2 linked regions of the Anolis sagrei genome follow. The protein of the gene in region 1 binds, or shares a complex with, the protein of each later gene. Links are inferred from orthologs where the notes say so. Each region holds a gene or a part of one and is shown on either strand. Other genes may lie near its edges.

Region 1 (7,977 bases):
CCCTGAGTCAGACACAACTGGGCTTAATGTCAGGGGAAAACCTTTTCCTTTACCAAGTACCCATTTCTGTCATTAGCTTTTGAGTCAGCACCATATTAAGTGTCAGATGAAACCCCTTAGTCACAGGGCACCTGCGTTATTTTTACTGATGGTAAGGCAGAGGTGTAGTTATGGGGAACATGGGGCTATAGCCCCCCAAAGTTGAAATTTCCTCTCCAAATTTCTGGCATTGAAAACTGAACATTATAAATCATTCACACCTAGAACTCTTCTATTTGTTGAATTTGCATTGCCTTTCTCTGGAAGCCTAAACCATTGGCTCTGCCATACCAGTGGAATATGTCTCACAAGAACATCTCTGAAATTGAACTATGCTGTTCTTTTAGTTGTGTTAGTCCATTTAGTAGCAAGAACACCATGCTTAAACACCAATAAATGTATGACATAAACTTTTGAAGGCTTGAGTATAAATTGGGCTACTTATCTTTCATAATGAACAACAGGAACACAATCTTTTATAAGCTGTTGGAACCCACATCATGTTTTTGGCACTTCGTGCCCGGAAAACGAATTTATGATTTTAAGAGGGGGCCAGTGTGTGCAAGGAACCTAGACAATTCCAAGAAATTGTGAAATGTGTTTTTTGTTTTAAGACTGGATGTTGCTATTGCAGAGGAAGAATGAATAAATCTAAGATGCAATCAGTAATTCTGTAGCTTCCGTCATTATGCAACAACAAAGTGTATAAATCTTACAGATATTGTGTAAGATTTTTGTAATTTGGCACAGCAGTTGTGAAGGTGAAGAATGGTTTTCTCAGCAAGTTTGATTCAAAAAAAGGTTGAAAATGTGAAAAGAGAAATGATAGTGGATTTAATAAAGTGCTGATATTAGGTCTTAACATCAGAAAAATCCACTAGCTTTTGATAAAATACAACTTAGCCAGCATCCCTGATCACATCTATAAACAACAACATTTATTTATGGCAGGCATAGGCAAACTTCAGCCCTCCAGGTGTTTTGGACATCAACTCCCAAAAATCCCAGCCAGCTTCCCGGCTGTTAGGAATTATGGGAGTTTAAATCCAAAACACCTAGAGGGCCAAAGTTTGCCTATGCCTGATTTATGGGTTTTGTGGCTGAGTGAGGATTCAGACTTTTGTCTCTAGAGCAGTGGAACTTAATCTCTAAGCCGCACATCACCAGTGGACTGCAAGGAAGAAAATCTGGTCCACGAGCCTCCTTCCTCTTTATTTGATTTCTGCTCCTTTTGTGCCACCTGCCACTCCTTCCCTGTCACTGACCAGTCCCTCCTCCTCGGATAGACCACATCAGCTCTAGATTATTAAATATGGTTTTCTGTGGGAGAGCAGATGGTGACTACTGGATGGCATATGTTCTGTTTCAGAAACTAGAGCTGATTTGGTCTATCCAATGCAATTTTCTGAATTGGCACCCCAATTAACCAAACAGAATCTAAAGTTGACCAAAAAATTGATATGTAGCCCTTTGGTACTAATGTTGGAGAGTGGTCCCTGGTCAAAATGGTCCCTGGTCTAGTGGACCCTGCTTAAAAAAAAAGATTGGAACCACTGCTCTAGAGTCATAGTACAATCGTCAAACTGCTACGTCACACTGGCTCTTGGATTGGGGAAAACATGTACCCATTAGGAAGGAGAGAATATAACACAAGTTTCTTAGACCAGCCGCCCTGGCTACCTGCAAGAGTAACTAGGTTCCTTCTAGACTGCTCTGCACTGTAGGAAAATAAACCCACTTGTATTCTCTCTCAATACAAGTCAACAAGCCTTCACTTTGACTACCCAAGCCAAAGTACCCCGAAGCACTTGCCCTCTATTATTCCCTATCAACCTAATTCTTAACTCACTCAGCAACTCTCTTCTCCCTGCCTGAAAATCCTAATCCTATCTCTCTCAGATCAAATCCCTCTTCTCTCTTTTAGATCAAAACCATTTCTCTCTAAGATCAAATCATTCTCCTCTCTCTGACAGAAAGTACAGCCTTTTTTACACACTCCTTCAACTCCTCCCCTAGGGGTCTGAGCCAATCAGGAGTTAGCTGACTCCTCCCCTTGCCTCTCTGCCTTTCCCAACATGTCAGCTATCCTTAGCACCCTCCCAACAGGGAGGCCTGCTCACTGACTCCCAGGCTGCGGCCTACAAAGCAAAGGTATGAGTTCACTACACCCTGCCTTCCTGCAATACCACTGTACCATACGTTTTGACTTTTATTTTGGAGCAGTTGGGCAATTTAAGTTATGAAAAACAAAAAAGGGGGCAAATATATCTATGAAATATAAAATAAACAGAAAAGGGGCAAATTGGGAATAATGAGGGAGGAGAGGGGGAAAGCTGGAGAATCCCACCCTCTGATGTCACTTTACAGACAGGACCTATTACACCAAGACAGATGAAAGGAACATTGTGAGACTGGGAACAATTGATGAGTTTTACCTATCAATAGCTAGGGATGGGATAATCAGAGAGGAAGAAGTCTGGCAGCAAGATGCACAAAATGTTGTAAATTAGTGACTGTCACCAAATCCGATGGTTCAACTGCAGTGCCAGTTTACCTGCCTTGTGTAATGAAATATTTAACTTCTCAAGGTAGTGTATACACAGTTCTGCAATGTTATCTCCACATGTACAGAACAATAGAGGCCAGATCTACACTGCCATATATATAATCCAGTTCAGTGCAGTCAATTTGCATTCAGAAACTGGATTATATGGCACTGTAGATGAGGCCAGAGTCTCAGTCACTGAACTTTGTCACTGAACCTTGATTTCCATCCATAAGGAGATCTTGGCCATTGATTTGTTGTACTTTCACAATCAAATGAAGGTTTATTCTAATTAATGTATTTGTTTACAATTTGAGATGGCTATTGGCGACCTGGTGTTATGAGTTTTCATAATTTAGCTTTAGGCTGTTTTTAGTGTTATAGGCCACAAAAAAAAATGAAATGCAAGCGTACAGAATGGAGGGATGCCTAACTCGACAGCAGTACATGTGAAAAAAGATCTTGGAGTCCTCGTGGACAACAAGTTAAACATGAGCCAACAATGTGATTAATATAGAAGAAAAAGCCAATGGGATTTTGGCCTGCATAATTAGGAGTATAGTGTCTAGATTCAGGGAAGTCATGCTACCTCTGTATTCTGCCTTGATCAGACCACACCTGGAATACTGTGTCCAATTATGAGCACCACAAGTGACAAGCTGGAAGGTGTCTACAGGAAGGTGACTGTTGGGAATCAGCCTGTGTTTGTGTTCCAGGATCATGATGCTTCTGATGTGGGCAATGCTGTGAGCAATGATGAGGTAAATGGTGGTGCCGAGGCTGAGGTGCAAGATGGAGATGGTTTGGTCAATGATTTTCTTGCAGACAATGACAGAGAAGCTCCAGTGCAAAGGGCAGTTTCTCATGAGAATATTCCTGCTGGATATATGGATGATGGTTTACTCCCTCGCTCTGTGAGCTCTCAAGATTTGGGTTTGGAAAACAATCTGACACCTGGAAAATTTAATGAGCAGCCAGAAAGGGAGTTGAAAAACAGGTGGCTGGAGTTCATCCAGGACCGACAACAAACTCAAGGTTTACGTTGCTCCGAAATGCTTCCTCAGATAAGAGCCAAGGGTGGGGGGAAACGAAACCAGTTTCTGGGTTTGGGGATATAAGGTTTGCTTCAAAGGAAAACCTGTTAGATCAGGCATCATTTGGAAATCAAGTTCATGTGCCGTGGAAATCCTGTTCAAGGGGTCTTGTTCCTGTGGAAACTTCTAGCCTTTTGGTGTTTGGATTGTCTTTGCATCCTGTTGATTCCTATCTGGATAAATACTGCCTTGGATTGCTTTTATATCTTTTGTTGACATTGCTTTAAGTTACTGCATTTTACTGACCTTTTACTTTCTGGAACTTTCCTATTTTCTTACAAGCATTTCTTTCTACTGGCTATTTTACTAAGCTTCAATAAAAAGGATTTATTTCTTCACTCAACGTGTGGTGTGTTTTAAAATCAGAGGGCCTTTTCCTGTCCTGGAGTGCAACAGCCACTAAAATAATAAAGGGTCTGGAGAACAAACCCCATGAGGAGCACCTTAAAGAGCTGGGCATGTTTAGCATGCAGAAGAGAAGGCTGGAAGGAGACATGTTGCCATGTGAGGGAAAGTCATAGAGAGGAGGAAGGAGGCTTGTTTTCTGCTGCCCTGGAGACTAGGATGCAGAAGAACAATGGCTTCAAACTACAGGAAAGGAGATTCCACCTAAACATTAGGAAGAACTTCCTGACTGTGAGAGCTGTTCAGCAGTGGAACTCTCTGTCCCGGAGTGTGGTTGAGGCTTTTAAACAGAGACTGGATGGCCATCTGTCGAGGGTGCTTTGAATGCAGTTTTCCTGCTTCTTGGCAACGGGTTGGACTGGATGGCCCACGAGGTCTCTTCCAACTCTGTGATTCTATGACACTGTATCTGATCTTCCATTTAGGATCTTAATTGTGATTTGAACCCTGTTCTCTCTCTCTCTCTCTGAAGGGGCCATCTACAATGTAGAATCAATTCACCACTTTTAACTGCCATAGCTCAAGGCTCTGGATTAATGGGAATTTCAGTTTTATAAGAGTTTTAGCCTTTTCTGCTAAAACTGTAATTTGCCTCGCCAAACTACAACTCCCATCATTCCATAGCATTGAGCAATGACAGTTAATCTAGTGTCAAACTGCATTAACTTTGTAGATGCACTCTAAATCAAGCAATGTCTGCTTTTCCAGACTGGCTAGGGAATTCTGGGCATTGTAATCCAAAACACTAACTCTTCTCCATTCTGCTTTTAGCTATGTTTGTGTTATGGCTTTGGTTCCCCCCCCCCCCTCCTCTGTCTCTCTGTACCCCTCCTCCCACTGTAGCCACTGGAACAGAGAACTTTGGTCACAAAGTTCTTGCTGAAATATCAGTACACTATTTGGACACAGCATTTTAGTTTCATCATGGCTTCCCGTCACTTCAACATTCTGCTTTTAGGTCTTTTGCTGGTGTATCCGATCTCACAGGCTGCAGGTATGACTCAGAAAACTGTTCTAATATATAATGCTGAACTGTTATTTTGTTGTAGTTTGGTTGTCTTTCTTTTGGAAATTGTAAAGCCAGTCCAAAAAACCTTGAAATCTGAAATTTCTAAACATCAGCCAAATAACTTCATTCCTAAGCCAGCTATTTTTATGACATTGATACATTTATAGTTTTTAGATGTCTGCTGTTAAGGTTAAAGTTAAGGGCCTCTTGGGTTCTAAACTATTAGAGCAGAAGAGCCCCAAAACAATATCAATGCAAGCTGTTGCTGAAACATCTCTATCTTACTCAGTTTTCAGCATATTGGTATTTATTTTTAATTGTGCTTGCAGGCAAGACTTAGTACCCCTGAAGCTTATATAAACATATTATATGTTTACTATATTGTGCCTTTTTCTTATTTTTGCCTAATAAGATTCATTGATAAAGCAGAATGATAAGCACAACAACACACTTAGATGTAACTGTGTCATCCCTCCCACCAATAACTTAAGATTAAAGGAGCTGAAATTTGTCCTAATCGATTAGGGGATTATAAATTGATCAAACTGTTGACTGATAAAGTTTGCCATCACAATCTCTAACTTACTCTAATTACTAATTTAGTTAATACTCACTTAGAAATATTTGTAAATGTCTTAAAAGGTATTTCTTCAACTCTGATCACAAAATGTGAGTGCCATCAGTAAGACAAAAATTAAATTAAGTATTTTTGTTCAATCTAAAATAAAATTTACTTAGTATATACTGTCAACAGAGCAAAACAAATGTGACTTTAGAAGATCGAATAGTTGTTTAAACAGTTTTAAAGTTTTGAAGTGTGTATTCTCTGTGAAGTGCTTATTTACGGAAGAAGAAAAAACAGATCTTGTGAGATATATTCATGTCCCACTTTATGCTTGCGGCTCATAGACAATATGAAAGTTATCAAGAAAGTAAGGTTACAAGGCATGTAGCTCTCGCAGGGATTTTTCGTGGAGGAAGTTGGTATCACTGCCATGTAGTGGGAAGCCAGCGGAAGCGAATGAGAAGTGCCAGTCATCAGCAGCTCATCGACTGAACTTGTGGTGAAGGTTAGAGTTGATAATAGAGAGCACTGTAATAAGATGAACAGTAGTTAAACTATGTCCCTGCAATGCTGAAAATGAGGAGTAACCTTGTTGATATTTACCATCATGAACAAAGTATAAGGAATTCAGTGCAGCTGTACTTTTTACTTTCCTCAGCTATGGAGATGTTCCAGATAATTGTATGATAAATGCACCTAAAACATCATCACACTAGAGAATGAACCCACTTAAAATCCGTTTTCTGCCTCCTGCAGAATTGTGGGGTTTCTAGTTTAGTGAGACTGTTAAAGGCGCCTCCCTAAACTACAAACCACAGAATTCTGAGGAGGCAGAAACGGGTTTTAAAGTGGATTCATTCTCTAGTGTGATGAAGTACCTAGTCAATGATTTCTGTTTTTAAGTCTTCTTAAAGCACGAGGAAGCAAGCAATGTACTACAAAGGAACAAGAGAGCCAATTCCTTCTTTGAAGAATTCAAATCAGGGTCACTGGAAAGAGAATGCCTTGAAGAGAAGTGTTCATTCGAAGAAGCAAGGGAAATATTCAAGGATGACAAAAGGACAGTAAGTAACAGGGCATTAGGGAGGGAAATTGTGTTTTTTCTACAGTTGTGATTTTTTAAAGGTTGTACTAATTTCCTTCACATGTATCTTGGTGGGATGGTTTTCAATCCAAATGAATATTTAATGACAGAAGCCTGTGTCTGTAAGATGAACTGATACGGTTCAGAAAATTAAATTTCTTGTGTTTGTGAGAAGAAAGCTAAATTGGAAAGGATTCAGAAGAGATGGAGAGGTGGTGTTTGACCAGTAAGTGGAATCAGTGAAGATAAACTGAAGGTACATGGTTTTAGTCACTGCTTAAGAGTATTGTGTTATAATGTGTTACTTTAGTAACTAGTTAATTTTTGAATGATTACTTGTTGCCTCTAATAACTGGCAGAATCCCTGTTGGAGTGAAATTACAACATTACAGGCGGCAACAAGGGAGGCTTCCTGTGTTGCATTGGGATTAATGGGGGAAAGCTGGGCAGCGGACGCTTCCCCTCATGGGGTGGGATCTAGGGTAAGTTGGAGGATGCAAGGCGTGGGGCAATGGGTTCTCCACATCCCTTTTTGGGCACTGCCAGATTTGCCATGATCTGTGGTGATTCCGAAGGCATGTATGATGAGGTCCTAAGTGTATTCGGATGCAGTCTGAGCATCTTTCTTGTGAGTTTATTTATTATTTATTATTTGCATCATTTCTATCCTGTCCATTTCAGCCTGAAGGCGTACAGACCGGCAACAATTAGATGCCATCCACACACACACACACACAAACCAACAAAAGTTGGATGAGCATTTGTCAGGGATGCTTTGTGATGCTTATAACAGTTGGGTTCCTGGTTGTCTAGATGGGTCTGCAGGCCATTCAAATACCATGACTGTAGGAATAATAATTGAAAAATACTTATTTGTCGGGCTTCATGTTCATATTTTTGTTTGCAAATGTCTTGATTTTACATGCTGTATGCCACTTTGGGAGAAAAGCAGGATATAAATAAATAAATAAATAAATTATCCCTAGTTTTAAATCTATGCAAGAGAAGGTGAAATTAAATCATCACCCTCACTATCATCATCATCTGCCTTTTTTCCTTGCCCGGGACTTAAGTCAATTTACAAAAGTTAAAGATTTGGTTTTAAATCTACTGAAGTTTTTAAAAATTATGAACAAAGTTGCTGATAACATTGTTTTGTTCTCTCCCCCCACCCTGCCCTCTGCCCTCTTTTGCTCAGATGCAATTCTGGACACACTACACAGGTAAGAGGGCTTG
Region 2 (7,871 bases), about 55 Mb from region 1:
TATGTGATTTGAGCTCTGCTAAATTGTGGGTTTGGGGGCTGAGTGTATCTAGCTTCCCAGCCGGCCAAATGAGACACAGATGGGATAAATGAAAAATCAGAGGTTTGTTCTCAAAGGTTAGAGAGGATGTCAGTGGAGAGAGTACTCCAAAGAACTGACTTACCACATCTGCAAATATAGAACATTTTTATGTAATGTGACAGCTATTTAAGATTCACGCAAGCGCCTGATTGGTCCTGAAACTATCCAGCTAGCATCCGCTTCCCGGTTGGTCAGGGATTTCCTCTGACATCATTGTTGATTGGCTTTTGTTGTAGTGGGAAACTCAATAAACTGTCATTGGATTATTTTGCAGTGTCTGTCCATTTATTAATCTGCCCTGGAGAGGGGCGCAACTGCAAAGGAATGCAGTGTGTCTAATGATAATGGTCTGGGATGGGTCCCCATATCTTCAGCTCCGGTGTGGGCAATTGTATTAGGATTGATAGAAAATAGTGTGCTTAAAGGTGTTGGCCAAGTCAATGTCTTTCCATAGGAGTCTGATACAGAGACCTGGGAAAGGGAGTGTTCCCAGGCTAGCCCAGATCATATCATGTAAAACAGGCAAAGGGAACCTAAAGGTTCTGGGACAAGGGCATTGTGTGTCCCCCTCCCATCCATCCCAGTTCATTGCGTGAGGATTATAATTTCCTCTGGGTGAGGGCGAGGTGAGGTACCATTTGGAGGGATTTCCAGGAAATTTTATATAAAAGTTACTATAGGGCCGTAAGAAATAACCATTTGGCTAGTTATACTTTCCCAATGGAGCCATGTCTCATACTTCATACTTTTGAGGTCTATTTTTCAATAACACACAGATATACAGATCATGCTCTTAAAATCATAATCTATATGCAACATTCACTTTTCAGGTGGGGCTTTCGCCCTGAAATACCTCCTGCTCATCTTGAAATACTGGGGAATGATGACCAGGCCTACAGAATAGCGAACTATATATATGATGGAAAAAAAGCACGATCCCTCTAGCTGCATTAAAATCATGCCAACATCCCTAATCTCAGGAGGTAGCAAAGGTGGACCAAAAATGATTATTTATTTATCAGTTCTGAATCTGAACTGGCTCAAGTATTTACAACTCCCCAGAGTGCAGGGGACCAGTGTAGATCTGCCCATGGCAAAAGATATGGATTCTTATACAAACCAATACAAGTATGTTTTTGTTTAACTTGTGTTCAAGTGTTGAGTATCTTCACCATGTTGCATAGGAGTCCCCTTGTGTCGGCAGGACAGAAGGCCAAGAGATCGGAGGTTCGAATCCGGAGAGAGTGCAAGTGAGCTCCCTCTGTCAGCTCCAGCTCCACATGCAGGGACATGAGAGAAGCCTCCCACGATGATGATAAAACATCAAAACATCTGGGCATCCCCTGGGCAACGTCCTTGTAGACAGCCAATTCTCTCACACCAGAAGTGATTTGCAATTTCTCAAGTCACTCCTGACACAGAAAAAAAAAACATGTTGTGTATCTTATGTATATCAAGTAATAACAATGCCAATTAAATCCCTTTCAATACCAGGGTGTAAAACAATAAAATTGTGCAAAAAGTCAAAGGAAGGTGAATACTTCTATAAGGCAATAGTTCCAAAATGTCAGATTGGCTGTCCTTTCTTGGATTTTAAAAGGTTGTCCTTCAAACGTGAAATAATTCAGCCAGGGGAATAATGCTGCACATAAATATGTATACTGGAGAACAAAATTAAGTTGTTTTATGTCTTCATTAGCAAATATTACAAGGTCTATATCAATACTAGAACTCTCTCTCTCTGTGTGTGTGTGTGTGTGTGTGTAAAATCATCTTCAGAGAAGGCTATCTGTCCTCCTAAAACACCACCTTGCAATGTTTATATCTTAATGGAAGATATTGGGGAAAAAACTTTTCTAAAAAGTGAATAGTTTTGTATGTCAGAATGGAAATCTAAATCTCTGGAGTTTTGTCTTGATATGTCTGTCTGCAGTGCAATTGCGTTCCTTAATGAATGCTCAGGGCTCCCTTTTCTAATTTTTGAATTGAGTAAAATGAATTTGCAATTGTTAGTCATTGGAGAGAATAGTTAACGCGCAGCCCCCCTACTGTTTATGTCTTATGCAAACAGTGTCTTCTTAACAATGCCCATTGCAGCTAATTTGCAACTACAGAACTCAAAAATATTGTCTTGTAAAGTTTTAATAGAGCCCCATGCAACTCAATCATCCATTATTGGCGGAGTTTCTCCCGGGACGATTAGTTGGAGGAAGCTGGTGAACTCTGAAGTAGGAAAATCTCAGATGGAAAGCAGATTAATTATCTATCAAGAGATTGGGATCGGAGGAATGGGCAACTCTCCTGACTCAACTTTGAGCAACCTGTTTTTCTTTGTAGCAAGATATTCCTTTGCCTGGAATTATCTCATTTAAAGTTTTGTTGGAGACTTCTCTCTAACGAGACTATAGTTCCTATTCAAAGTTCATTCAGGTAGCAGTGAAGGATGAACTTTCCACTTGTAAAAGCGCTCTTCAAATTCAGATGGTGCTTTCGACATCATCTTAATAGGTCTCATGGTATTACTAGGTTTTTTTTTTTTGGTTTTTATTGGCCAGGCTGTTAATTTATTTTCTTTATCTACTGATACAAATGCCTAAGTTTCCACAAAGAGATCCACTTTCATCTCCAAAAGAATAAAATTGAAAATCCGTTGGAAATAGCAACCTTCTTCAAGCCTCCACTAGTTATTTGTAATGTATATAATTGCTTACTGTATTGTATTTGTGTGTGTTGATATGCAATTTTACTGTAACTCTTTGTTGTGGGAGGGGCTGCAGACCATGTGATCAGAACTGGGATTGTTCAGGACTTTTAGAATTGTATGCTTTAGACTTCAGTAGGAACAGTATGCTTAGAGACTCCATTGGGCTTCCTGACTAGACAGAGACTCTTAGACTCTCAGAACAGAGAGATGTTCTGGACTATGAACTATTGATTCTAAGAAGGATGCCCTGTGTTACCTACATAGAGAAGCTACTTCAAAACTACTTGCAACTGGATTGATATGCAAAGTACCTGTACACTGAATACATGAAGTTTGTGAGTAAACCAACTGTGTTACTTTTAAAGAACTCTGTATAGAGCATGATTTAAAGACAAATATATTTTAAGGGACAGTAGATGTTTTTTGAGTAACTAAAAGGAACATTTCTGAAACTATGCTGAATATACAGATGTGTTTTGTGCATTGACATATATTTGTCCCTAACAGTTCAAAGACATACCTAGGTATATCAGTTTAACAGCTGAGAGCCTATCTGTGGAAGTGGGCACCCCAGCCACACACATACACAGGGGCGCCTCTGCACATACATAAGTATTTTCACCTAGGGCTGCCTCTGCACATACATATGTATTTTCACTTTTATCTGTGGAAGTGGGCACCCCAGCCACACACATACATATGTATTCCCAACCTTCCTAATGCTGTGACCCCTTAATGCAGTTCCTCATGTTGTGGTGACCCCAATCATAAAATTATTTTCGTTGGTACTTCATAACTGTAATCTTGCTACTGTTATTGTAATGTAAATATCTGATATGCAGGATATGTTTTCATTCACTGGACCAAATTAGGCACAAATACCCGATATGTCCAAATTTGAATACTGGTGGGGTTGGGGGGGGGAGGTTGATTTTGTCATTTGGGAGTTGTGGTTTCTGGGATTTATAGTTCACCTACAATTAAAGAGCATTCTAAACTCCACCAATGGTGGAATTGAACCAAAGTTGGCACACAGAACTTCCATGATCAACAGAAAATACAGGAAGGGTTTGGAGGGCACTGACCATGTGTTTTGGAGTTGTAGTTCACCTGCATCTAGAGAGCACTGTTGACTCAAAGAATGATGACTCTGGACCAAACTTGGCACAAATACTCAATATGCCCAAATGTGAACATGGGTGGACTTTTGGGGAAATAGACCTTGACATTTTGGAGTTGTAGTTGCTGGGACTTATAGTTTACCTACAATCAAAGAGCATTCTGAACTCCAGGAAATGATGGAATTGAACCAAACTTGGCACACAGAACTCCCATAAGAAAATACTATGTTTTCTGATGTTGTTGGTCCCTCTGACACGCCCTCGCGACCCTCCCAAGGGTCCCAACCCTCCGATTGATAAACGCTGCTATAGAAGATAGATAGATAGATGTATATGTATTCACCTTGTTTTTAAATCCTATTGTAGCATGCCACTGTTAGCTGCCATGTATCCCTATGGGGAGAAAGGCGGGATTAAAATAAATAAATAAAACAAATATACAAAATCGCTGAAAAATCCTGGTAATTCACTTCTTATCACTTAATTTATATTTGTGCTTATTTTCAATTGATACCATAAGTTCCTGCATTTGTTTTTCTCCTTTAATGGATCTTGCAAAGTTCAAATGTAATATTTCCCTGCAAATATAATAACAATGAATAAATAATAATAACAACAATCTGTATTCTCAGGACCAATATCTGTGGTTGCCTTGCCTTTTTTTCCCTTCCTCGAATTTTATTTTATTATGCTACTGTTTTTTTTAGTTTACTTTCTTTTTGTTTCTAAGCTTTTCCATGTCAATCAAAAGTATTACAAAAACAAATCAGAATATGGGATTGGCTAGAAGTTATCAGAGCCTAGCTGGAAGGATTATTGGGAATCCCTTCCAATGCTGTGATTCTCTGTATGGGAGGAGCTGTTGCGTTGATTGGTAACAAACTACAATGCCCATAGAGCAATCTGAAAAATGCTGGGACCTGTGCGCATGCGCAACATCACAAGAGGGTGGCGCTAGTGGAATGCTAAAGCCTGTCTTTTATCAATGAGCCCTCCGAATGCATGCAGGAGAGTCTACTTAGAGTTCCCGCGCATGCGCCGTGTTGCACTCGTCGCTATGGGGCAGCTCACTGCCGGGCTGGTGCTACAGGTGGCTGCTTTGTCTTTGTTGCTCTTTTGTTGGGAGGTGAAATCCACAGGTGAGTGCAGGATATGTAAGGCCGACCTAATGCTAGTTTCCAGTGGGAGGTTGCACGGAATGCAATTCCTCCGTTGCTCTGAATTGTTACCACTTTGCCTTCCAAAAATACTAGAATATCCAAACTGCATCTTACAGACTCTGTGTTGGTGTGGGATCTGTTATCTACGCTTGCAGTTTCCCAGTCCAGTCCTGGCTAGACTCATTCATGCCTTCAAAACCAGAACCTCTTTGAGTGCATCTACACTGTAGGATCAATGCAGTTTGGCACCACTTTTAACTGCTCTGGCTCAGTGCTATGGATCCTGAGAGCTGTAGTTTTGACAAGGTTTACTTTTCGGGCTGTGGAACCCTGGGATTTGTAGTTTGGTGAGGCAGGAGCACTATTTGGCAGAGAAGGCTGGAGATCTTGTAAAACTACAAGTCATGAGAGTTGTACAAGTTTGCTTTCTGCCCCAAAGTTGCGCAGAAACATTTAGGACAGTGTTTCTCAACCTGGGGGTCGGGGGATTGTGAGGGGATTTCAGAGGTCACCAAAGACCATCAGAAAACACATTTCTGATGGTTTTGGAATCCATTTGGGTTCACAGTGCTCTGTAGATGTAGGTGAACTACACCTCCCCCCAATCACTGTCAATTCATCCCAAATCCCTCCAGTATTTTCTGTTGGTCATGAGTGGTCTCCGCGTGGCCCAATTCTATCATTGGTGCAGTTCAGAATGCTTTTCGATTGTAGGTGAACTATCAATCCCAACAATTACAACTCCCAAATGTCAAGGTCTGTTTTGTCCAAGCTCGACCAGTGTTCATATTTGGGCATATTGAGTATTCATGCCAGGTTTGGTCCAGATCTATCATTGTTTGAGTCCTCAGTGCTGTCTGGATGTAGGTGAACGACAACTTCAAAACTCCAAAACAAACCCTTCCAGTATTTTCTGTTGGTCATGAAAGTTCTGTGTGGTTCAATTCCATCATTGGTGGAGTTAAGAATGCTCTTTCGATTGTAGGTGAACTATAAATCCCAGCAACTACAGTTCTCAAATGACAAAATCATTATCACTCCCCCCCCCCCCCCCATCCCACCAGTATTCAAATTTGGGCATATTGGGTATTTGTGCCAAATTTGGTCCAGTGAATGAAAATACATCCTGCATATCAGATATTTATTTACATTACAGTTCATAGCAGTAGCAAAATTACAGTTATGAGGTAGCAACGAAAATAATGGTTGGGGGTCACCACAACATAAGAAACTGTATTAAGGGGTCGCGACATTAGGGAGGTTGAAAACCACTGATTTAGGATGTCAAAATATTAATATCCTATCTTTCTATATTTCATAGAAGGAAATACGGTCAGATTTTTAGGCTCTTCCTGAAGGCTGCCAGGGTGGGCTCTTACCTAAACTCTCTGGGTGCCTAAAAACAACACATAAAATAAACACACAGTACAATACAAAAAAGTAAAACCAATATCACATAAAAACAACAATTTAAAACTCAGAAAAACACCCAATAACGTATAGTGATGACTGCCATAAGACATGGCCAAATCCTAAACAAGACAAGGGAATGGGATAAGTGCAAATTGTAGCTAAGGAACAAGGGCATGGGATGAAAGTGCAGTGCCGTGTCTCCAGGCAAGAAGCAGACAGGCTTTGAAGCTGCAAGGCCATTCAGTGCTAATCAAGATGGCCAACTGCTACATTCACTTTTGCCTCCAACAGACAAGAGTTCTTTCTCCCACCCTCAACATTCCACAGATCTATAAACCCCACTTGCCTTGTTTCCAACAGACCTCACCTCACAACCTCTGAGGATTCCTGCCATAGATGTGGGCAAAACGTCAGGAGAGAATGCTTCTAGAGCATGGCCATACAGCCCAGAAAACTCACAGTAACCCAAACTGGTTTGGATTCCATGGCAATCTATATGATTGTAAAGGTGTTGGATGTTTACCTATGTGCTGCATGTAAATGCTGTAACCCGCTATGAGTCCCCTAGGGGAGAAGGACAGAATATAAATAAAGTGTATTATTATTATTATTATTATTATTATTATTATTATTGGGATCACATAGTCCTGAGCCATGGCAGTTAAAGTGGTGTCAAATTGCATTGAGTCTACAGTACAGATGTACCCCAAGTCTTTCTCCTAACTGCTGTGTTTAGTTCTCCAACTGCTTCCTGCTAGCACAGGCATGGGCAAACTTCAGCCCTCCTGGTGTTTTGGACTTCAACTACCACAGTTCCTAACAGCCTCAGGTCCTTTCTATTCCCCCTCAGCTTCTGTTAGGTTTTGTGGGATTTGAAATCCAAACACCTGGAGGGCTGAAGTTAGCCCATGCCAAGTTAGCATCTGCGTCAAGAAATACTATTTTTGTTCCTCAAACAAGTTGAAACTAAAACACTCAGCTATTGGATTCTGTAGCCTCTCCATGTGTCAATTGGGAGGGAGGAAGGGAGGGATTGTTTGAGAACATCCTATTTCCTTGCTTTTTCAGTCTACTTTTTCTTGCTTGGGAAAAAAAGATAGGGACACATTATAGTGGTGGACTAGGACTCTGGAGACCAGAGTTCAAATCCCCATTTGGGTGTGAAACCCACTGGGCGAACTTAGGAACGTCACACTGTCTAAACCTCAGAATTTGGAAACTGCAAAGCTCTTCTGAACAAATCATTCCAAGAAAACCTCTTGATAGGTTTGCCATGGATTGGAAGCAACTTTAAGGCACACAAGAATACGAAACGGCAGTCTAGACCAGACATGGGCAAACTTTGGCCCTCCAGGTGTTTTGGACTTCAACTCCCACAATTCCTAACAGCCT

Evidence for each region. Proteins that work in one complex are often made in the same cells at the same time.
Region 2: the proteins of F7 (region 1) and POGLUT1 are in contact, whole or in part, in a crystal structure (PDB 5L0S), measured with the Homo sapiens proteins. The link is inferred for Anolis sagrei from reciprocal best matches to the Homo sapiens genes F7 and POGLUT1. Residues at the interface, in NP_000122.1 of Homo sapiens: Asp108, Gln109, Cys110, Ala111, Ser112, Ser113, Pro114, Cys115, Gln116, Asn117, Gly118, Gly119, Cys121, Gln126, Ser127, Tyr128, Arg139, Asn140; in NP_689518.1 of Homo sapiens: Met103, Phe104, Pro105, Ser106, Arg107, Arg132, Asp133, Pro171, Ala172, Trp174, Pro178, Thr179, Thr214, Asn239, Gln240, Ala241, Val274.

The regions. Positions count from the first base shown.
Region 1 is NC_090023.1:108,697,257-108,705,233, reverse strand, and holds the start of F7 (coagulation factor VII), read left to right. Parts: upstream 1-4,962; 5' UTR 4,963-5,007; coding exon 5,008-5,077; intron 5,078-6,560; coding exon 6,561-6,721; intron 6,722-7,939; coding exon 7,940-7,964; intron 7,965-7,977. UniProt on the Homo sapiens protein: Initiates the extrinsic pathway of blood coagulation. Serine protease that circulates in the blood in a zymogen form. Factor VII is converted to factor VIIa by factor Xa, factor XIIa, factor IXa, or thrombin by minor proteolysis.
Region 2 is NC_090023.1:53,208,698-53,216,568, reverse strand, and holds the start of POGLUT1 (protein O-glucosyltransferase 1), read left to right. Parts: upstream 1-4,871; 5' UTR 4,872-4,891; coding exon 4,892-5,045; intron 5,046-7,871. UniProt on the Homo sapiens protein: Dual specificity glycosyltransferase that catalyzes the transfer of glucose and xylose from UDP-glucose and UDP-xylose, respectively, to a serine residue found in the consensus sequence of C-X-S-X-P-C.